4 linked regions of the Schizosaccharomyces pombe genome follow. The protein of the gene in region 1 binds, or shares a complex with, the protein of each later gene. Each region holds a gene or a part of one and is shown on either strand. Other genes may lie near its edges.

Evidence for each region.
Region 2: lsm2 (region 1) and lsm1 share a complex: the UniProt entries of both Schizosaccharomyces pombe proteins name them as parts of the heptameric LSM1-LSM7 complex.
Region 3: lsm2 (region 1) and lsm7 share a complex: the UniProt entries of both Schizosaccharomyces pombe proteins name them as parts of the heptameric LSM2-LSM8 complex.
Region 4: lsm2 (region 1) and lsm8 share a complex: the UniProt entries of both Schizosaccharomyces pombe proteins name them as parts of the heptameric LSM2-LSM8 complex.

Annotation. Positions count from the first base shown.
Region 1 is NC_003421.2:2,141,599-2,147,861, forward strand, and holds lsm2 (U6 snRNP-associated core protein), read right to left. Parts: upstream 3,388-6,263; 5' UTR 3,327-3,387; coding exon 3,267-3,326; intron 3,214-3,266; coding exon 3,112-3,213; intron 2,760-3,111; coding exon 2,657-2,759; intron 2,599-2,656; coding exon 2,573-2,598; 3' UTR 2,351-2,572; downstream 1-2,350. Other genes in the region: U5 snRNP-associated protein Prp18, read left to right, coding at 1-548, 594-668; putative signal recognition particle subunit Sec65, read right to left, coding at 1,081-1,457, 1,511-1,733; wtf meiotic drive antidote Wtf23, read left to right, coding at 4,163-4,298, 4,515-4,844, 4,894-5,172, 5,209-5,400, 5,441-5,503, 5,554-5,660. UniProt on the Schizosaccharomyces pombe protein: Component of LSm protein complexes, which are involved in RNA processing and may function in a chaperone-like manner. Component of the cytoplasmic LSM1-LSM7 complex which is involved in mRNA degradation by activating the decapping step.
Region 2 is NC_003423.3:1,282,458-1,288,413, reverse strand, and holds lsm1 (mRNA-decapping complex subunit Lsm1), read left to right. Parts: upstream 1-3,197; 5' UTR 3,198-3,329; coding exon 3,330-3,393; intron 3,394-3,441; coding exon 3,442-3,510; intron 3,511-3,558; coding exon 3,559-3,674; intron 3,675-3,751; coding exon 3,752-3,925; 3' UTR 3,926-4,076; downstream 4,077-5,956. Other genes in the region: AP-endonuclease Apn2, read right to left, coding at 1-178, 216-1,008; DNA polymerase epsilon subunit Dpb4, read right to left, coding at 1,469-1,809, 1,848-1,966, 2,099-2,271; pig-A family phosphatidylinositol N-acetylglucosaminyltransferase subunit Gpi3, read right to left, coding at 4,089-4,888, 4,932-5,047, 5,091-5,368, 5,424-5,503, 5,564-5,660. UniProt on the Schizosaccharomyces pombe protein: Component of the cytoplasmic LSM1-LSM7 complex which is involved in mRNA degradation by activating the decapping step. The LSM1-LSM7 complex loads onto the 3'-end of single stranded RNA.
Region 3 is NC_003421.2:1,813,631-1,819,424, reverse strand, and holds lsm7 (U6 snRNP-associated protein Lsm7), read right to left. Parts: upstream 1,060-5,794; 5' UTR 1,002-1,059; coding exon 952-1,001; exon of another isoform or gene 898-951; coding exon 606-897; 3' UTR 501-605; downstream 1-500. Other genes in the region: nucleoporin Nup60, read left to right, coding at 1-308; dsc5 (UBA/UAS domain-containing protein), read right to left, coding at 1,853-3,028, 3,216-3,323; SPRY domain membrane protein, specificity factor required for ubiquitination Ear1, read left to right, coding at 3,942-5,090. UniProt on the Schizosaccharomyces pombe protein: Component of LSm protein complexes, which are involved in RNA processing and may function in a chaperone-like manner. Component of the cytoplasmic LSM1-LSM7 complex which is involved in mRNA degradation by activating the decapping step.
Region 4 is NC_003421.2:2,274,861-2,280,072, reverse strand, and holds lsm8 (U6 snRNP-associated protein Lsm8), read right to left. Parts: upstream 2,196-5,212; 5' UTR 2,172-2,195; coding exon 2,147-2,171; intron 2,093-2,146; coding exon 1,924-2,092; intron 1,861-1,923; coding exon 1,770-1,860; downstream 1-1,769. Other genes in the region: exosome subunit Csl4, read right to left, coding at 195-740; ubiquinone biosynthesis protein Coq11, read left to right, coding at 4,875-5,212. UniProt on the Schizosaccharomyces pombe protein: Component of the nuclear LSM2-LSM8 complex, which is involved in spliceosome assembly. The LSM2-LSM8 complex plays a role in the biogenesis of the spliceosomal U4/U6-U5 tri-snRNP complex by accelerating prp24-mediated annealing of U4/U6 di-snRNA.

The sequences.
Region 1 (6,263 bases):
AAGAGCCAATTCGTTTGTTTGGAGAGTCAGAAGAGGCTACCATTCAACGATATTACAGTTTGCTAAAATACAAAAAACTGGAAGAAATTGAAAATGAACTCCTTACTAAAGGAGTTGAAACAATCGACTTTGAGCATGCTACTACCACCAAACCCAAAGTATCCAAGCAAGTAGTTGCTTTTCTTCAACATGGAATCCGCATTTGGGACAACTTTTTGTCTTCAAAATCCATCAACTCTTTCGAAAGTTCTGAGAGTCAGATGCAATTAAAAATATTTCGTCAAGCTAAGCAAGATCTTGATGTACTTATACAACTGATAGTCGATGAAGCTTTAAACGACGATATTTTTAAAAGCATAGCTGAAATTTGTTACAGATGCCAAAAACACGAATTTGTCAAAGCCAATGATATGTATTTACGTCTGACAATTGGAAATGCACCTTGGCCTATTGGAGTTACTATGGTTGGTATTCATGAAAGAAGTGCACATCAACGATTACAAGCAAATCCAAGTTCAAATATACTTAAAGACGAAAAGAAGAGAAAGGTAAGATTTTAGATAAAGTACCCAGTCTAACCTTTCACATGTTAGTGTTTGCAAGCTTTAAAGCGATTTATTACTTTTCAGGAAAGAGAGTCATCAAACTTACCTGAATATACGGATTGAAGTACGAAAAAGATGCTATTTGTTGTCGAAAAAGAATTTAATTATACAGTTCACACTAAACTTTTGAAAACGACTATGTCAAACATGGTTTACTAATGATAGAATATTCAAAAATTTCGCCTCTGAATTGGCATGAAAGAAACTACAATGAAACAGCTTCTGATATAACGAGAGGCGAAACATTTATAAAAGACAGAAAAATATTAAGTATGCCACCAGAACTCAGTCTTAAAAAAGCAGAATGTGCTGTGCAAATGAACTCATCTTTAATGAAACTCTACATCCATACTCATTATTAGGAAAAAATTTTTTGTTAAAAGATGACGAGAAAAAAAATTTACTAATATCCATGAGCGTTTGCTAATAGTCGAAAGCACCTATATTCCTAATATTTCAGTTTTAAACAATAAGTTTACTCCAAATCCAAATCATATTCTGGTTCAATTGACTTTTGTTTTCGCTGGCTTGAAGATGCTTGGGGAGTTGGCATAGGAGGAGCAGGGCCTCCCATACCAGCAAGTGCAGCCATTGGATTCATACCTCCAGCTAATCCAGGTTGCTTTTGCATTTCCTGCATCATTTCCTGGAACATATTTTCAGAGATACCACCGCCAGATAAAGCAGGTGAATGAAGAGGTAAAATCGTATTTCCTAAAACCCCCTTAGGATATGCAGGAGGATTTTCAGGAAGACGTGCGGGAACATTTTGAATAGGTAACGATAAAGGATCTGTCTTAACAGTTGGGCGAAGAAGTAGTACTTTGGCGATTTCGTTTATGACATACTTTTCTACATTCACAGTCAGTTAGCATACGAGAAAATAAAACTAATAACAATCTTACTTTGTATTTTTTCAGGTAATACCATTTCGACTCGACCTGGATTGACCCAATCTGCAGGATGTGTCTTCAATGGTTCCAATTTACATTTATATCCCAAATCGCGAACAACATCGGCAATATTTTTAGCTAACGGATTTAAAATTGCTTTGTCTTTTGGTACACAACGAAACCTACGTGGACGGCTCTTGTCAAAGTAAATGGGATATAATATGATAGATGGCATGTGGATGGTGAGTGAGGTAGTTGGCAGCAAATGCGATATCATACTTATGCTGCTCAACCGTATGTAGTAGATAAATACGATTTTACTTTCAACTTACTACTGAACATTTCAATTATTTTTAAAAAGAAGACGTTTTTCATGATTAACTTAGAATAAAACTAAGAACACTAAAAAAGTAAAATCGTATCATTCACTGGGAAGATCTTAAAAGAATACAAAATATATTAAAAAAACGATGAAAGAGAGTGTGCCTGATTGGCTTAAAGGTGAGATCGGTTGAATCCTACAAATGAAATCAGTAAAATAAATTGGAAGAAGAATTAGACTTGTAAAACACAAATCTGAGTGGATATCTTTTAAAGTAATACAAACGCTCTGTTGCTAATGATGCATGAGTGCTAAAAATTCCCTCTCGCAGCAATAAACCGATATGTAACGATGTATGTATTTTATGATAATTGACAAAGTCTCATCAACTATATTAATGGAAGAAGCCGTACACAAAAATCATGTAAACGCCAACAATTTTCTACTTAATTTTTTTTTTTGAAGATAATAAAACGGTAATTTTAAGGGATCGGTTTCAGGCATAATAGGGAAGCTGGATTTAAAAGAAAAGCGAAAAGGTAGTAAGAATATGGATGAATGAAAGGGGAGGAAAATACCTTCAAACAACAATGGTCCTTAATAAAATGATGTATATACACATGTATATTCCTTTTGCGGGCATGAAAAAAATCGCAATGGGACACATGATGAATAACCGAACTACGATTAAATAAGCAATTAGTTCACGGTTTCCGAATATATTGACCAAAAAAAGGAAATTTTCAAAGGAATTATTGACGCTTATTATTAGCCAAGTCTAAAAACCAGTGAGTTAATAAGGCTAAAATTTCAGTGTTTAACAAATCATGGCTTACCTCTACGACAAGCATCAGCTAATAAAATAGTATCAACATATGCACTTGACATATGGACGTAACGAACAACGCTACCACGAATAAACAAATCTTTAACAGCAGCCTAATAAATTATTAGTTATAACTCTGGAATAATAGCACGAGATAGTGTTAAGAGTAGGAACGAAAAAAAAAGGATAGATCGAAGAATTCAGAAAGTGAGGCGCACTTTATGATCAGTCTTAAATTGTTCAATTAATGAAAAACCTAGATTTTAAAAGTTGAGAATGTAGCATATACGTTGGGAAAGCTGATTGATTCATGTTCCTCTCATGTAAGATGTTGTACATAATCGATTTGGACAAGACTTTTTTCAAAAATCAATCAAAAACCTAAATAAAATGAATAAACCGAACCCTACCGATCGTAGAAATCATTTATTTCTCTTTCAATTCCCGATAACTTGCAAAGCATACCATATGAGGATATTTCGACGCATCGACCACAGAAATATTTTCAAGCTTAACGTTTAAAAACTGGTCAACAGATTTCAAAATTCCTCGGATACTCATATCATTCTATAGTTTGGTTAACCTCATAACGCGATCAAAAAAGCCAAGTAGGGGCATACCTTCAATTCCACGGTAACTTCCGTGTCTATTAATGTCTTAAAAAATGAGTAAAACAACATTATAATCGGGAGAAGACTCGTTTTACACGCTTTTGGATGAAGTAAGAAAGATGCAGCGAACAGAAGAATGTGTCATGTACAGGCAAAGCCCATTTACACGGTATTGTGTTGGAGCTCGTACATTTTTTTGCGAGGATTTACGAAATCAAAAAATCATATTAAGGCTGTCACCGAGATTAGTTATGATACAGTACGTTGAGTGTCACTATATGTTCACATGTTCCATTTACATATCGCACCGCAGATGATACGATGTTGATATTAATTTTAACAATAATCTATTAAAATCCAAATCATCTAAACAACGTAAATAGAGTTACTGCTAAACCTCATTCCTTACACAATTATAAGTTGTATTTGCAATAGATAACAATACAACTTGATAGTACAATACCTAAACTCAGTTGCTACTTATAGTACCTGTGTATTGTAATATCATAGGTCACAAAGGAAAAATTACCGCAGTTCTATGTAATCGTTAAAGCAGATACCAAATTGCGTAGCTGACATTATATTATACTACAACGTTTTGCTTCTCAAAAACGTTTTAAGGAAATCTAAGTTGGGGTGAATAAAAAGGGCAGTGACAAAATAAATGTGTCAGAAGCAATTCACTGCCTCGTTCAGTTTTTTCGTTCTTCTTTTTTTATGCCATTGTTTGAAGGAATTAGTTGGAAATTTGTTTGAACAATTTTATTATTTTGTTAAAAAGTCTTTAAAGCGATTGGAATTGGACTACAGAGTGAATATTCTTGATTTTGCTGTTTCGTTTGTCGCAATCACAACAATTGAACTATTTGTGTGTATATCATTAAATAATAGACTGTCGTTAGAAAATGAAGAATAAATATTACCCCTTGAGGTCGTCTATGGATGAATTGAGTGCAAAAAACGATAATGAAATTGATTTGGAAAAAGGTCCTCTCCCAGAATACAATTCAGAAGATGGGAGCACATTGCCTCCATATTCAGGTAAGTGTTGTGTTGTTGGTAGATAAGATAAAGAATTGAGTGTGTCAAGGATTATTTGCTGTGTCTGTTTGTTTTGATTTACAATGTTTTTGTTGTGTTTGTTTGTTTACAACTTGACATATTACGAGTATAAATTCGTCTAACAGGGCACGCTCTTTTTTCCTTTCCCATTAAAAAATATTCTAAAGTTACCATTGAATTTTGCTAACAATATAGAAAATATAAATTTAAAGGATCCCAAACAAATGGGAGCTAACAACCCTAACTTATTTAATACGGACGAGTCTACGACTCCTCCGGATTATGGTGAAGACAGTCTTTCTATTACACATAGAGAAAACCATTCTTCCGGGACGGCAGATAATTCTTCTACCTCTCCGTTGAAAAAAGCATTTTTATCATTCATTTCAATCTTTGTGCTAAACGTACCCGCAGTTTGTTATCTAACGTATAAGGACGCTCTCTTTAAAGATTATGGCAAAGATGAATGGGTATATTTTGGAGTGTGGTGTGCTATTTGCCTAATGATTTTTATTTCTTTATGGTGTAAGTGACACGATAGGTCAATTCTTACCTTCAGTCACTAACTCATTAGACTTCTATGAAACTTGGATCAAGGCAGTCAAAGTAACTGTAATTTTCTTGGCACAATGTATAAAGGTGACTGTAGTTTTCTTGGCACAATGTGTAAAGGTGATCTCTATTGGCCTTTTCAACATAAGAAGAGAAATGATGATTATAATTTGGTTACTCTGGTTAATCATTTGTTGTATACTCTTTGGTTGCGTCAAATCTGGCGATCTGAACTTAAATAAGGCTCTCATCTATTCCACATGCACTATTTCGGCTGTTTTACTTTTAATTGTATCATCTGGTAAGTGAAGTTACAATGCTAAACGCTGACAAACAGTTTGTATTCCATTTTGGACATTCGAGCGTACGTTAGCTAAGTTGGCAAAAGTGTTTTTGTTACAAAGTGGTATCGTGTTGGTACTAAACGGTACGATGTTTTTACGTGGTAAACATTTTGAATGGACAGGTTGTGAAATTGAAGCCTCTGTGCTATTTATTATGGGCAATGTTCTTTTTCTTTGCGAAATGGGTTCGTTAAATATTCTTGAAGTTTACTCTAACCATGCCAGAATGTCCAGGTGCACTCATAAGAACACGAAACTCTATCAGGAATGGTATAGCTTTTATTTTAGGTATGTGTATTCAACCAACTGTATGAATGATTTTTTACTTACCCGACTAGGAGGGATAGGAAATGCGATGATGGGGCTAGCAAATGCGTTTAGAGGTGGCAACGATAATAATAATAACATTCCCTTGGGGGAAATGGATGTCGAAGGCGAAGTTTAAATTGCATTATTAAAGTTGTGCTTTCGAAAGTCTCTACAGCTGGAAAACCTCTTTACGAAAATCACCAACGCAGAGAAGCTGCGGCGTTTTAAAACATAAGCACCAACATTCTTTAATCATCATCTTTCACTATAAGTTTATGGAAAATATGCTTAACTCATTCTTCCAGTTACCAAAAATTGTCAAACTAATGCATCGCTTGAAATGGTTCGCGATGTTGGATAATCTGGATAATATGCATTGAGATTCGAATCTCTTATTTATTATATGCGAGTCTAATTATGTGTCTTTTCTAATGGAACTCAAGTCACAAACAATAATGGTTTAAATTGTTTACGACAACTTAAAATCAACTAATGAAATCGAAAAACTCGTTGTTCCGCCTTGTTAAATTTACAAATTCATTGTCGTTTATTGCATTCATTTCTCCTTCATCTTGATTCTTAATGAATCAAGCTTAATTATCATTTTTCTTTTTGTTTAATGGTTCAATTCAAACAAAATTAATGTTTACAAAATAATGAATAGCATAATAATATAATGTTTGAAGAGATGAAATGTTATAGTAGCGTGTCAGACTTTACTACGCTACGATATACTGCG
Region 2 (5,956 bases), on another chromosome or scaffold:
AGTAAAGGTGGTTCTTTTGAGTGACTTAGAAAGTTGGACAACTTTTTTCCTTCATATTCTTCTTTTAAATCTAAATATACGGGGCAATGATCTGAACCCATGACCTCAGCCATAATATCTGCATCTTGAACCCAAGGTAATAAATCGGGTGTTGCCAAAGTGTAATCAATTCTCGTACCTATCCATTGTAAAAAAAATAACAATTCAGAACTTACCATAATTTGTGGGCCTTGTATTAAGTCTTGTATTCCAACATGTAAACATTCCTTTCCGAGTAGGATGTTGAATACGGCCAATGTCCAACAGTAGTCCCAACCTGCTTGGTAGTAATAAATCACGTATCCATTGTCTTGATTCCATGATGCTTGGAATAAGACTCTCTCGAATAATGTCTTTTTGATCAGCAGTGTCAATAGGATTACACAAAATATTCACATCCCCAACGAGAATGATTTTTCGATTTCCTTCCTTTATCAATCTTTCAATTCTTTCTCGTAAGGCTTTATAAAAGGCCCGTCGATATTCTAGTCTATTTTCTCCAGAGTTTACTGGACAGTAAACACCGATTAGGATGAACATCTGAAAATCTAATAATATACACCTTCCTTCACTATCAATCCAATTAGCAGTTTTTCTGTCAATGTCTTTTGGGAAAAATCCTATCTTTTCATGCTCCGGTGCTTCTGAATATGAATATTTTTGTCCTCGTACTGGCAGGATGCCAGTAATTCCCTCTTCTGCTTTCACTGGAATAGCAACATCTTTTTTTACATAAAATCCAACCCCACTATAGCCTTTTCTGATCTTAGGAAATGTAAAATAACTGTCGAATCCCTCAACAACTGCATATTGTTGAGGAAAGCTGTCTTTCTGCATTTTCAATTCTTGAACACATATTACATCAGCCTGTAACTCTTGAAATATCTCTTTGTAGGAATTTTTTTTATTCCATGGAAAATAATTGAATGGATTCTGTATACCGTTCACATTCCAACTTAGAATTCGCATTCTTATAATTTTTACGTAGAGAAAGTGTGCGAAGGTAAAGGCGACAGACTTTTGAATTTACAATTGTTGACATAAGTTAATCTGATGGAAAATAAAATGCATTTGTTTAATTCGAGAATGAACTTTTTCTTTTCTTTTCGACCTTCTCCCTATTGAATGTTGATTTTCAAAAAAATTCTAGATTGACTAATATTGAGTTACAACTGTAAACAATCTAATGATTCTTTCTAAATATATGTCATTAAACGAGTATACATGTTGTGCTAGAAAGACATTATCTCAAACTGCTGTTTAAAAAAGCTATGTTTGGATACAAGGATGTAAATTGGGGTATTAACAGGTATCCAAAAAATCCATTAAAAAATAAAGAAGGTTTAGTTTTTCGTGTAAAAAAATATGATTAGCTCTCCATGTAAGTTAGGACTATTGACAATCTTCATATACATTTAACCAACAGTAATTACGAAGAATCATTAAGTTGAAGAGATTCTTCTGAGTCGGATTCAGAGCTATCTTCAATTGGGTTTCCCGTAGCATCTGTAAGATGAATGGTTTCTATTTGAGGAGATTCTGCGTTTGCGTCTAATGTATCATTCACTTCTTCGAGGTCCTCCACATCATCAATATTTTGCTCAACTTCATTTTGTGCTATATCCTCCGCAATTCGTTCTTCTTCTAATTCGTCTTTTTCTTCATCTAGAGGAGTAGTGTCATGCGCGTCTATTTTGGCTTTCTTTCTGTTATCAACATCTGATACGTTAGGGAGTTTCAATCGTTTTTCTTTCAAGGCAAGCTCATATGCTTTAATAGTTAGAAGAAGTACAGAGTAAGAAACATACCTTCGAGATGTTTTTTTAACGTTTTAGAGAATTCTGGATACTCAATTTCATCGAGCGCATTCAAAACGTCTTGAGGCATAAGAATTTTTCTGTTATTATTCGTAGCAATTTCCCCAGAACTAAGTAACGTTAGTCTTTATTCATTCATATACAAAGTGTTTCCAGAAGAAAATAAAATTGGCAATTATATAATAAATTCTTTCATCATACAAGCCCTTCAATATGGTTATATAGTTATATAGATTACATACGCGGATGTTAGAAAACTAACAAAAAGAGTTGCTGAATTGATCATAGCCTTGAGAGCTTCTTTTTGTACAAGACTCTTTTCAGGTAAGACACCTTTGACTAATCGCATAATGATCGATCGAGGAAGCGCCAGATCATCCAATTCGGAAGTTTCTTTCGATTTATCTTGATTCATATTGATTTTCCAGCCGCTAGATCTTTTACAAACGCTGTATACAAGTCTTTTATAAATCCAATCCAAATATCATCCTATGGTCACCAAACGATAATCACAGAGAAAGGCGGTTGCTTCTTTTTAGCTAATTAATGTATAATAAATTCACTGAGTCGCCTATTTCTGTCAATTTTCACTAAACACTATCTGTGCGTTATGAGCAGAATCCGAGAGAGCCTTAGAGTTGAAACATTTGTAGAAATGCTATCAAATTTCTTAAAACTAAATAGTTGTACTGTTTTGTTTATATTAAATGAGTAAAAAAAAAAGTTTTTTAGCGTTGTTAGAAATAAATAAAGCTTTTTGATAACCATACAATACATTATTAAAGGCTCGATTTTTGATTGTAATTAATAGATAAAAACAACTAAATTTATTATCTTTTTTCAGAACACTCCAAAAACGTTCAATGAACGTTCTAAGAGAATAATAGGCAATCTCTTCTCAGTCGAAATAGCTCAGAATAGGGATATTACAAATGGGATTGGCAACATTTTTACAAGTTCGATTTTGGAATTGATAAAAATCATCAAATTATTTATTTCTGTTCTTCGCAAAATGTTGAGCCTTTCAATGAACTAATCCGCTTATGATGCTGAAAAATTGTTAGGTAGCTTGAGTATAATTAGATTCCCTTTTTACAATCTGTGATCAAAAATATACATGTTTTTGTTCTTTAATTTTTGTGAAGACCGACTTCCCTTTATAACTAGAAAGTCAGATTACAACATTCAATGATGGGCAAGTTTAGAAATGGAAAAACCAAATAATTTAATTTACAATTAGCAAAAAAACATAACAAACGAATAACATTTAAACTTCAGAAGCACTTTTAGGGTTAAACAGGGAGAATTTAGGATTCCAGATTTGACGACCTCAGAGCACTTGCTTCTAACCATCTCCTCGAACTCGTTTTTTAAGGAAAACACTCAAATAAAGTCATCAGGCGTTTATAAAAGAAATAGAAAGTTAAATCTAAATTAAATTATTAGTTTATGCTACATCCAAATAATAGCTGAATGAATCAAGCTACACAGATTATCCCATTCACAACTTCTGGGTCACTTGTTGACTACGTAGACAGTACGGTGTTTTTTCCAATGTTTTCCTTGATCTAACTTTACCTTTTAGGAAAAGTGATTGTTGTTTTACGAGATGGAAAAAAACTGATTGGAATTTTAAGGTCCTTTGATCAATTTGGTATGGTTTGCGTGAATAGGCGCATAAGTGAGTTTACTAACTGTGTAGCAAATTTAATGTTGCAATACACGATTGAGAGGATCTATGTGGATGATATGTACGGGGACATAGACAGAGGTGTGTATATTGTTCGGGGCGAGAACGTCGTGCTTTTAGGTGAATTGGTAAGTTTCGTTTGTAACATAAAATATTCGAGCATCTTTATAAATTTCTTTGAACGTGGGCTAAATATTTCGAAAAGGATTTGGATAAGGAGTATGATGCAGTCAAACAATTGCGACGTATGCCTGCTGAAGAACTGTATCCTTTGGCGAAGCTTCATGAAGAAGAGAAGAAGAAAAATATACGTGAGAAGGGCAAGTACCTTCATTCTGTAGGCTTTAGTGTTGACGGCGGACATGATGATTTGTATTAGACAACGGTTGAACAAATTTATCACAATATTGCTATACCGTTTGTTTACAGTCACGATAGAAAGCTATCTCGACCGCTGTTTATTCCCCTTTTAAATGGATGTAATGTAATTTTTAAGACATGAATCGTCATAATCCCATTACCGTTCGTTCAAAGTTTAGTAATCATTGTGCATCTTTTAAACATGCAGTTTTTATCTTTGTCTTTTTTTTGGGGTCCGTTAATACCAGAGATTCGTCAAAGTTCTGCTTAGAAATTTTGAAAGTAGAGGATACGCGGTCAACCGCTGGGTCAATATCAGATGCTGGCCAAATCCATTCTAGTAAAACCATTACAAGATAATCTATAGCTATGAGTAAACAAAATAGCTTACCAGCCCATTGCCCACATCCGTAATAAAGCTTTAGACGGTCTATTAGTCTAAGATTATTCTCTGAACATATACTGTCGTAAACCTTTTCTGTCCTTTCCGCGACATCTATCCACGAGTACATTTGCTTAACCTCCTCATGGAAAGTTTCGGTTTTGATTTTATGGTCAAGATAATCAGTAATAACACTCGAAAGTGTATCAGCTAAATCATCCTCTTCAGGACGGGCGAATCGTGTCATGTGGGAAGGCAAGACTTCAGGAACACCTCCCACTTTTGTAGAAATCACATAAAGACCACAGCTTGCGGCTTCAACTAAAACAGTGCCGAAAGCTTCGGTCAAACTAGGATGTAAATAAATATGACCCCTGACCATCACATCACGAACTTGATCATGTCTTACAGAACCAAGCATTTCAACGCGATCCTGTAACATATACTTTTCTCGCATTTGTTCCAAATCGATTGACTTGGGTCCGTCGCCAGCAATAACAAATCGTACTTTAGGGTGTTGCGCACAAATTCTGGGTATAACTGCGATTAAAAGATCAATGCCTTTGTTATAGTAAAGCCTTGAGATTACTACTATGGTTACTAAAAATGTTAGATTTTTTCCTTAATAAACGAAAAAACTCACAGAAATCTTTTGAAGCTTTAGATGGGTCTGGCTGAAAGTTTTCCGCTACTAAGGCATTGGGAATCACGGATACTCTTTTTGGATTTAGAACTGCACGAAGCACCGTATTTTCGCGGCTTCTTAGTTAATAATTTAAATACTTGCTCATGAGATACTTACCAAGTGTGAGAGACACAAATAACATGATTTACATCGCTCATCGTAAATTTTAATAACTTATTTGTAACGATGCTGCCAGCATCTGCAAAACCAAACAAAGAGTGGTCGGTAAAACAAGTTTTCAAGCCCATTGTACGAGCATGCAGAATAGCATCATGGCATAGAAAGGATAAACTGCCATGACCGTGGACTATTTCGATATTTTCTCTAATGACTATATTGCGGAAAATTGGAAAAAAGGAAAAAAAGGAAGGAAATGTTGTTTCACGATACACAGTCTGCATTGTTTAGTTTCAACGCTATGCGCGATCAAAATTTCAATTAAAAACTTACATGTAACGGCACGTAGTAAACGGTTAGCCCATTAGTTAAGTATCTGACGCCAACTCGATCCTTATAAGCATGTGTGATAACTAATATAATGCATGTTAGAGCATGTACAAGTTGACATTATCATAAGGCTAAACGCATACCAATTACTTTATGCCCTAAATCAATCAATCTTTGAGAAAGCTGAAAAATATGGCTTTCAATCCCCCCAGGTTGAGGAAAGAAGAAGTCTGATACCATTCTAAGCATACAAAGTTAGCAATCTATTGAACGTTGGGATTTCAATCTAAGAGAAAAGGTGATTTATAGAAGCTTATTGAAGCCAGTATATTATCATAAGAATGTTAAAAAATAAAAAATGCTATAGGCTTCATTTTGTACTAAGAAAATCTCCTTAACAAACAATATTGATTGTGAAAGTTGCATTTCAAAACATACGCGACCCTGTATCCCATTTTAGATGAATTTTAAACTTTTTTATTCATTCAAAGAAATTTTTGGTTTTTTTTAATCTACTTTGGGAGTTGTTTACTCTT
Region 3 (5,794 bases), 330 kb from region 1:
AGATGACGAACGTTGCTATTGATCAACGGAGTTTTGAGCAAGCTGAGAAAAGCCCTATCTCAGTATCGGAATCGACTTCGCTAGTTGAAGTCGAGAAACCCTCTGCTGAGGGCACGAATGAACATAAGCAAGATGCCACTATGACGCTCGAAAAAACTGACAAACAAGGTTCCCTAGAAGAGGAACCTTTTCCCAAGTTTTCGTTCACGGTTTTGCCAAAAGAGAATGGGGAGAATCTCTCTACAATGGAAAGCACCCAGGAATTACCTAAATTCTCATTTTCAGTTTTGAAGGAAGAAAAGAACTAAACTTTTTGGCATTAATATACTTTTATTCAATGGCATATATCTATTTAGACTAGATAAATTATATAGCAATGTGATAACAAGCTAACTGGGAATAAACATGGATTAAATAATTTAAACATATGCGTAGAGAAAATCATCTTAATAATCGAATTTATTCTTTTAAACACATATTGCTTTTACACTTTTCCGAATTGGGTCTTTGAACCTTCAAAGCAAAACATGCACATGCGGTATAATAATTAACTTGTAGTATTTTATTAACAATAGTCAAACATCAAATGAAGGGCTTGTGGCTTTTTATTCAGCTTGGACGAATGGATTCGGTATCTCCTCAGAACCATCCATGGGAGCAATCAAAACTAAAGTTGTTCCACGAACGACTACAAGACCTAACTTTCTAATAGCTCCAGTAAGTTTACCATCCTCAGGATTGCGAAGCTGTTCCTCTACATCGTCAAGTACAAGGTTCATCAACTGATCGAATCCTTTTAGAATACCGGTAATTTGTCGGCCCCCCGTAAACGTGGCTTGAATTCGTTGATCTTGATATCTAGAAAGATCAAGGATAGATTCTTTTCTTGGTCTTTCACTATTTAAGAAAGTTAGCAAAACTCATGATGCTGCTCGTTCCTGCTAGACTTACGTCGGTTGACTAGAGTTACCTGGGCCAGGGCGTTTTTGAAGACTGGACATTCTTTGTATCTAGAATAACCAGGTAAATTATCAGCTATTGCCCAGAAAAGAATAAAGTACAGGTTCAACTTGACGATTCTCCTTTTTACGATGATTGTAACGTGATCGAACGTATCCTTATATGGTTCAATTTGAATGACTTAAGACATAGCAGTAAATGGAATATAAAACACGCTACAGAAAGGAATGTAAAATAAACTTGCTCAGTCTGAAAGGAAATAATTTCACCGCTTTACTTTTCCAATTTTGTTAGAAACGTTGAGAAATTCCATGCTTGGGGTCATAATGCTTGACATAAAGTGAATCTAATGCACTAATTTGTATATTAATTATATAAAAATTTAACATTAATGAAAGTTTAAAGGTAAAATTTAAGCTGTTTAGAAACAAAGCCACTAGACTTTTTCGAATTGCAATAAAGAAAGATTTATATTTTAAACAAATTTATGTTCATAATACATACCTCACTCATCACAGACGAAAGCTGGCAAAACTTTTATGCTACAAAGCCTAAATTACTAGCCTTTGTCCTCCATTGCAAAGAAAATCGTAGAAAACAGAGATGAAGATGACATGCATAGAAAAGGTTTTTGGCAAAGAACAGAAAATCTAGTGGAAATCGACTATGTACTCAGATTAAAGGGTGCATTGAAAGTTTGCTCAAAATAAAAAGTCAATGCGTCCAGTAGACATTCATGCCATAAACAACAATTAATTCAGTAGTAGAAATAGAAAAGAGAAAATAAATTCATCATACATCAAATCTTAGAAATGTATTTAAAAACGGATTCGAAACGTCGATAGTCGTAAATTGTCATTATGATTTAAAAAGACAAACAATTTTGTTAATTTCAATCATCCAGCTCCACCACCACAGTGCCATTTGGAAAGATGGCTTTGTTAGTAGAAATAGCCACTGATGGTTTCAGCAAAGCTCTGGGCAAAGAAGAATATAGTTGAAAATGAAAATCATGCTTATAGTCACTTGGTGGAGTGACCGGATTAGAAGATGAAGTAGCGCGACCGAATTCTTCAGGCTCCTCTTTTTCAAAAAGCATATAATCCACATAGTTGTAAACGGATTCAACAGTATCATCCTTCTTAAACCTTCGAACAGCCCGAGATCCGTCGGGAAAACGGATCGAAAGACGAGCAGGTTCATCTTCAGATGATGGCTCCGGTGGAAGATTAGAAGCAAGCCAAGCACGATATTGTTTTTTCTTTTTCTGAACGATTTCTCTTTCTTCTTTCTCCTTTGCAAGACGCTCTTCTTCTGCTCTCGCGAAAGCTTGACGCTCGCGATCGCGGGCAAGGGACGCTTGATAGGCATTGTCTTGTTGACGTCGTAACTCGCGAGCAGCTTCTCGTGCTTCTCTCTCCGAACGGAAACGCTCAAGAGAAGGAAGATGTTTAGCCAAAGCATTAGTTAGATTGGTAATGATGCTGGAACTATCAAGACATCCATGGAGTTGGGCGGCAACTACAAGCTCAGATAGCTGAGGTGAATACATAACAAGGACTGCGGAGGGAAATTTAGTGCAGTGGAATTGACGAGAACCTCGGAAAGCCTCATCCTCACAAACATCACCAGTCCAGCAAAGAATGTTTCGACGATTTAAAAATTCCTTTAGCTCTTGGTTCATAAGAACACTCCTGGAAAACGTCTCAGAGTCATCATTCTTTGAGCTAGTAAAGAAAAGCAATGCGACTCCATAATTACGCTTAATACGTGTCAACGCTTCCATGTAGCCGCCATCAGTAAAAAAATCAATATGCTCAGTACCGTATTGCTCTTCTAAATTCTGAACCAGCTTGTTCGCAGTGTCTGCAGGAGAAAGGACACGCTTAGTAGTACCAAAAATGGGGATAAATGTTGAAATCAGAGGAACCCTTGACAAAATCATCCATAGTTTGTGCAACCCACTGAATAGCAAAGAAAAAACAGATTGAAAGACGCCGAAACTTAATCCAAGCTTTGAATTTCTATCGACTCTTGACGATTCTCCAGTTAAACTCTCGATCGCTTCCTAATCATAAAACAGTTAGCAAAATGGCTCAGTCCCAACATTCACCGAAAATTCGATTAGAAAAATAAACGACAACCAGAGGATTCCATGAATGTTCAGTTGCAAATAACAACTTTCTTGGAATTTTTCAATCAAAGCAATTGATCACTATCGAATACTGAAAATGAATGCTTGCCGTGTCACATACCTGAACGTCCCAATTAAATGATTCCAAAACAGATTGAGCAGTATCAGCAGGAACATCAAGAGAGTTCCTTAATTCGTCTATTGCTTCTTGTTTTCGAGACCCTGACATGGTAGGTGTTGTTGGTTAATGGACGGAGTAGTATCCATGTGGCCTTTACGTGGTGCTTCGTAACCTTCCTTTTCCCATTACCATCTGAAATCCGGAAGCAAACATTGAACGAATCAAAGTAAATTTTCGAATAAAAATTTGGTTAATTCCAATCTATGGTTGTAAAAACAGAAAACTTATAAGCATAATTGTGACGGAGCAGTATTATCTGGTAAATTGCCGCTGATTTTCGATTTTACCTTACAACAGGCCATTGTGGCTCCTTCAGGAATAAATTCTTTTTTATCTTAAGAATTATATCTTATTTATTTAAAGGAGTTTGTATTTTCTCCTGTAAACTTGAAACAAGTATACCATTTCGCCCAATCCTTGAGCATTCGCAAAAACCATATTAGTGCAATATTTGAGATACTTGCATCTACGTTAGATTTAAATATTGTATCTCGTGCTTAATAAACTGCATATCTGAGAGAAAAATCCTTTTTCTCTTAACCCTATACTATATCCTCTTATAGCTAGGATTTTACTCTCAGTTATTTATTTCTCTATTAAATATACACTCGCAGATTTTCCTTTTTCAAATCTTATATAAAAAATTATTTTTTGCGTCTTTGAGTCATGCATCCCGATCAGATTCGCCAGTTGAGATTACAGGAATCTTCAAACACCCATCCTAATTTAGCAATCCTTTTCATATTTATTGCATTAGCCGCTGTCATTGTTCTTTTAATCTGTCTTTTGTCAGTCATCTTATTACTGCGATACACACGACATGGACGGATCTTGCTGAAAAACACCAATCCTGGTGAGTTGGACGACGAAGCGTTAGAGAATGAACATATTGATGAAGAAGGATTTAGTTTATTGGATGATATGGGGAAAGAACGGTATTTACAAGCTCGTGAGTTTGAGTTGAATTCCATGAAATCTAACGTCAACACGGATGCAAAGCTGCTTGACTTCCTACAAGTTCAAGAGAAGGGCGTATTAGCATGGCACTTTATCCCAAATCAGGAATATAATTGCTATGTTAAAAATAAAACTGAATTGTCTTTTTTGGGCAACGAAGAATGTTGCATGCAAACCAATTTGCCTTTGCAGAGGATCAATGAAGTATACTATTTTGAAGTAAAACTTTTAGACGTACCTATTGATACCTTGGTTTCCATCGGTCTGGCTACCAAGCCATATCCGCCGTTTCGATTGCCTGGTTGGAATTTTTGGTCTACTGCTTATGTGTCGGATGGAACACGCCGCAGTAATTCACCATTTACGGGAAAACCGTACTCCTCTTTCTACCAGCAGGGAGATGTAATTGGTGTTGGTTACAAACCGAAGTGCAATCGGATCTTCTTTACACGTAACGGTCGTCGGTGTGCAGAACTGCCGTGTACATATCGAAATTTGTATCCTACGGTTGGTGCAATTGGACCTTGTACCTTACATGTCAATCTTGGACAAGCAGGATATGTATTTATTGAAGCAAACATCAAGAAATGGAGACTCGCTCCTGCGGTTGGAAGCTTGGCTCCTCCTCCGTCGTATTCTACATCGCAGCCAACTATTAGTTGGGATGCAGCTAGTGAGTCTTCAGCGGGTACAACAACGCAGGGCGATACAAATAGACCCGACAAATCGAAAAATAGGTCACCTCCAATAAATTTTGATGGTACCTCGTATGATGCGGCTGGTAATGTTTTCAGTCCATCATCATCCAACAATCAAGCTTATCAAATGCACTCCATGCCTGCTACCGATGAAGTATAAGGAGTAATGTATAGCTTAGCACTAACAACCTTCACGCCAAAACCAAAGATCAAGTTGTGGAAATGTTTGTGCGTTGTGTTTCAAGTTAGTCCTAAAATCGAGAAATGCACTTTGTATATGAATTGAAGGGGATGTGTTGATGTTCAATGTATTTATTTTCTTTATAATAATTTCTTCAAAATTAGTTATAATTATTAATCTTAATTAAATTTACTCTATGTTTATTCGCTCAATTAATAAAAGGTTATTCACAATTTATTATGATTTTTCGTATAATGTTGCTATTGAGTCTATACTGTTAACATCAACCTTCATCGAATTCCGCTGGTGAGAAGTTTTAACGGAGGAATTCATAGGGTTGTCAATCCTGATAATGAAAGTGTAAAAGGAAATTTTCGAAAGCGCTTTTTTACATTTCTAATTTTGCGTAGTGTCATAAAATGCAATTCCTGGTAAAAACAAAGCCGCTTAATTATTAGTCTTGTTATCTTTTGCTGTAATAAAAGGAAATCTACCTTTTTATTCCAAAGGAACAAATAAAGCAATTCGATACTGCAGTGTGACATTCTTTGTGAGTAAAAAAAAAAGGGAGTAAAACAGAGAACGTATTCAAGTAATATTCTGAGAATTGTTTCTATTTCAAACTTTTATAGCAAGTTTCCAATATGCCTTTAGGTATAGACTTAATTGAAAAAAGACCGATC
Region 4 (5,212 bases), 130 kb from region 1:
CAAGTCACCTCAATCATCATTCTAATGAACTTCCAATATTTCTATATTCAATATTATTTTTATCCGTGTTCCGTATATTCGTATCATAAAATCTCTAACAATTTCAGAATTTTTTTTTTGTTAGGAAAGAACGAACCGAGAGGGAAAAAAAACTATCAGGTTATATCAAAACAAAGCAATTTTATCCCCTCATTTTATTCGTCTAATATAGGTTTAGCACATTTACGCATTTCCGTATATCCTGATTTTGTTTGCATATGCTGATAATCCACCGGAAACATTTGCTCTCCTGTTTCACTAGACTGAGCAAAAATCACACCAAGATCATTTCGAGCTGTTGTTAAAAAGTACGAAGAGCCGTCTCCAAGTGAAATTACAAGTGCTCTGACAATATCACCCGGTCGGAATGAATTTTGCACTTTGACTTTATTTTTCTCAGTAGCTCTAATATCCTGCACATGTATTACCCCTTGAAATTCATCTTTGGTGCAGACATCGTCAACGACTGAGATGTTTACAGTTGCTTGACGAGCATTGATCCTGCTGACGCGAGCTAAAACAATAGATCCGACATTAGGTAAAACGGCTGTCTCTTCAACTTTTCTTGGGTACGTTACAGAATTTTTCTCTGGATCAAAGATGCCAGTTCGTGTGGAAATAATATAATCTCCTCTCTTTACCGTTCCTTCACCGTTAGGAGCCCCTCTCGCGACCACCTGTCCAGGGAGAACCAAATTCATATTTAACGGCTTTAATAAACTAAAAATAAAGGAATCAAGTCCGTTTTGTATGGCTGTAAAAAATTAATTGAAAAAAAGTTGCTGTAAGCACAAAGGTCGTTGTAAACTGTAGGTTACAATGTAACCTAAAGTCACTGCTGCAGAAATTTCAGTTTATTTTGCTAAATTGAGAAAATGAAATTGCAAAGGCATTTAATTATCAAACAGTTTTTCTGCTCTTCTTTCAACAAAAATTTTTTCTTGATAATCCCAAAGCTTGGAAAGTAAGTTCACAAAACGATGCCAAAATAAAAAATCACTAAAAAAAAAATATGAGCAGCAAATATAATAAATCATTTTTTTTGTTTAACTCAAATGATCTTTGTAAATTGGACCATGATGCTGAAATATTTCTCAAGGTAGAGAAATTTTCCAGTGTAAACATTAAGCGTGACAGCAAAAATGAAGAATGTTATGCACAGTAAATGATATAAATTGTGATGTTTTTTTCCATATAATAACAAAAATCAATGATAAATATAAAGTCTTTAAACAAGTTGACCACAAATTTCAAAATCAAAGTGCATAAATCAAATTAAGGAAACAAAGGTATGTTAACGTTCCCAAGAATCATTTAAGAAAGATGAAACCCACAAAATAAGAAGAAAAATGAGTTTGTGATCCACAAATTTAACAAGAAACCAAGAATTTTTTAAATTCTGAAAGAACCGATGTCCTCGAACTCGGTATTTTAAACCATTTTTTTAAGTATTTTCGTTCAAGTGTCAACTCTTTGTCATCAGAATTAATCTACAACCTCAGTCATATTTTTTTAAAAAAATAAAGAAAGAATTTTCACTTCTTTCTACGAGCTAATAGCTTCCTGATAAAAGACATGCTGCAAGGTATGAATATATCGTGGAAAGCTTAACAAAATTTGCAAAGGATTCGCCCGCACAAAGAGGAAATATAACAAAAAAATCATTAACCCAAATCCTATGTAGCCTTAAACGTTTGTTCTCATTTGAAGTTTAACGTCCGGTTTTTGTATTAATGCACAACGTCAGGTATTGCTTCACCTCGAATTTTGGTCCATTCTATTTCTGAATCTAATTCCTCATTCACTAATCCAACCATTGCTCTAAAAATAACTATTAGATTATTGATTTACGTACCGCCAGTACAAGGCTCTGCGTCCACTTACACATTTTCTCCACGTAATAAATAAACGCCTAAAGGAATTGTTTCCATGTCTTGATCCATGCTAATAATTCTTTCAAATGAGTCTGAAAGTATAAGATTGGTCGTGTGATCGAATCCCTTCAGGGAACCTAGCACAACGCGACCATCGTTTGTAATGACTTGAACCCTTTCTAACGAACATCTATATTAGTCACTTCATTCTCTATTGAAAATTTGACACTTACGTTCCATAAAATCAGCAAGACTCATGATAAAGTGATTTAAGTATTAGTTGTATTACAGTATGGTAGTGCTAAACAAAAGTAGGTAGTCTTACAGCATGTATTTCAAGTGACATGATACTTTTTATAAAACATACAGCAAAAACAAAAAAATCAAGAATTTTAATAAACTAATCAAATTGAAAACACCTTTTTGTCTTAAAATTTTGAAGCTAACTTTGCTATCAATATAAGAAGTAACCCAATTATATTTTTAGTTTGGAAAGGAACACAATCTTGTGTCAAAAGAAAATTAAAGTAATTTGTGAAGCGCACGATTTTTAAATGATCTTTTGTTTTATTAATCAACGAAATTTATTTTGTAAAATAGATCTATTAAAGGAAAAGGTATTGAACATTATTCCAGCTATATCCGGCTCACGAATCCTTCCTCATCATTACAAGCAACCGTTCTTCTAACTAAAAATACCCGTTGTAAACAAATATACAAATCTTATGGACGTGGGGAATATAGATGTATATATTTGACTACAGTTATATTCTTGAATTACTTCATTTGATAGTTGTTGAGTTTAAATCATTGAAGGATAATTCTTCTTTTGAAGGTTTGCTTAAATAATTTGGAAGAAATAAGTATTTAAGAATTCCGTTTTATAAGAATTTTTTCACAACTTTAGATTGTTATCGATGTGCCTTACTATCTTAGTTTTTGAATGAAAAATTAATGACGGCTCGAATATAAAGGGGACGGTCTTCGCTCTTTATTCAGCAAAGAACGTATGGAATAGAAAGAATTTGTACTAAATGTGTCACCATAAGTGCGAAGCTTTAGGGTTTTTACATTATAAGACAAGTTAGATTTTTGTTTTAAAGGTGGCATTTAGAATATAGACAGATGAAGTTAAAGGGCGCAGCTCGTTTTCCTTGGCACTTTTTTACACTCATCTCAGTACTTGTATTATCTTCTCAAAGCAGCTTGGTAGTACAATTTTCTTGGATATTATCCCTATCTGATAAAATAAAGTTTCGCTAATAATTAAGCGAAGACTTACAACTTTGACGAAGCAGCACACAGAACTAAACCAGTAGATCATAGTGACTATAAAAGCAAATCTACTTAAAGAGGCTGAGAAATTGCCATCGTGAGTTTATTTATTTTCAGCTATATTCTTCAATGTAAATTTAAGTATTTATTGAGAAAAATTTAAGAAAGTTAAGTTGTTCGTTATAACGTACAGCAGCTACGAAAGGATATTTATACTACTGTCTCGCAAATAAACATTCTAGCAACTCATTAACATCATAACTTGTGTTGGAATAGTAGACAACTATGATGAATAAAATAAAATAAAAAGGGCAAGTTAGAAATCAGAAATTTATGCTTAATGTTTCATTTGGATTTTCGTTATTTCCAATGTATTCTGAATATACTCATACTTAAACACATATTGTTATATGTTATATTTGTTACATCAGGGGGATCGATATATCATATACTCCACAGTATAGCTAATTTATTTGTAACCCTTTTTGAAGAAATATTTATTTGGTATTGAGAATTAAATTAAATTTAAAGATTTACTATATCATAGCCTATTTACTCAATCTGTTCAAATGTTGCTTTCGCAAACATATTTTTATCAGTCACAATATAATGAAATACACATTTGATTTAAAACAATTTCAAAAAAAAAAAAAGGATGTTGATTAGAATGAAAGAAAAAAAATAAGATTTATATATTTTCAAAACAAAAAAGGTGTAGATATCAATAATAAGAAGACTTAAAATTCTAATAGATCTCGTAACGATCAGTTATTTTAAATTTATAAAATTAAACCACAGTGTATTGTTTTAGAATATATGAATTTAATACTTTCGCTCAACGATTTCTTGATCGATCAACTAAATATGTAATAATATTAATTAAAAAAAAATAAAAAAAATTTGAGATTTTTTCTTTCCTCTTGCTATGAATCACGAAATTTTCTGTATGAACAGAATAGCAATCAACTGGCTTCTCAGACACTTCATAAAACTCGAAATTGTGTCTTCAGGGTTATCGGAATAAATATTATGATTCATAAGCTCTATTGTTAGCTTAAAATTGAATTTGTTATTAATCTAACATATTTGTAAATGGGTTTATGAAGTATTTGAATTTGAGATCTTATTATTACGAATTTAAAATCCAAAGATAATTAAGAAATTAATCAATGGCTTATAAAGTATAGAAAATTAAAGACTAAATTATCAAAGCATTTTTATTTTTAATTTTTTTTAGCGCTCTCATTTAAGACAAACTTTTACTAATACTCCAATTATGAATGATGGTTATTTTGCATACTTATTAAATGATGTACATATTTTTATAAATTAATAAGTCTAATAGAAGATAATTAATTACCTCTTTCCATCTCTTGGTCTTCCTTATTGAGCTAGCACATTACCTCATTCTCTTCAACTACGATTTACTAACTACTCAGGTTGAAAGGGTTTTTTGAACATTGTTCGTAAAAGGAAATTTTAAAAATATTTTGAGACAGCATTTTTGTGTTTCTCAATTATTAAGATTAATAATAAGCATCACGAAACTTTGAGGTGTTAGCTTACATTAACAATTCTGGGGTTCTAATCCTTATAATAATTTGGGCTGGCCTATATCAAATTGTCTAATTTGAAGATTTAAATTCTTTAAATAATTTTATTTTTACTTTCTCCCTCGTTTTAAGTATGAAAATTGTTGTTTTAGGTGGTTCAGGCTTTTTAGGGCATAATATTTGCAAATTAGCCATTGCTAAGGGTTACGAGGTGGTTTCAGTATCCCGAAGAGGAGCTGGAGGATTGCATAACAAAGAACCATGGATGGATGATGTTGAATGGGAGACGTTGGATGCTCAAAAAGATCCAAATTCATTACTTCCTGTTCTTCGTGATGCCTCGGCAGTGGTGAACAGTGTTGGTATCCTTATGGAAAATAACTATAAAAAGATTTTACAGAATCCCAGAGGACCAGTTTCGCATTTAATCAATAGTCTTAGCTCTAACATGTTTAAAACTGGCCAAAACCC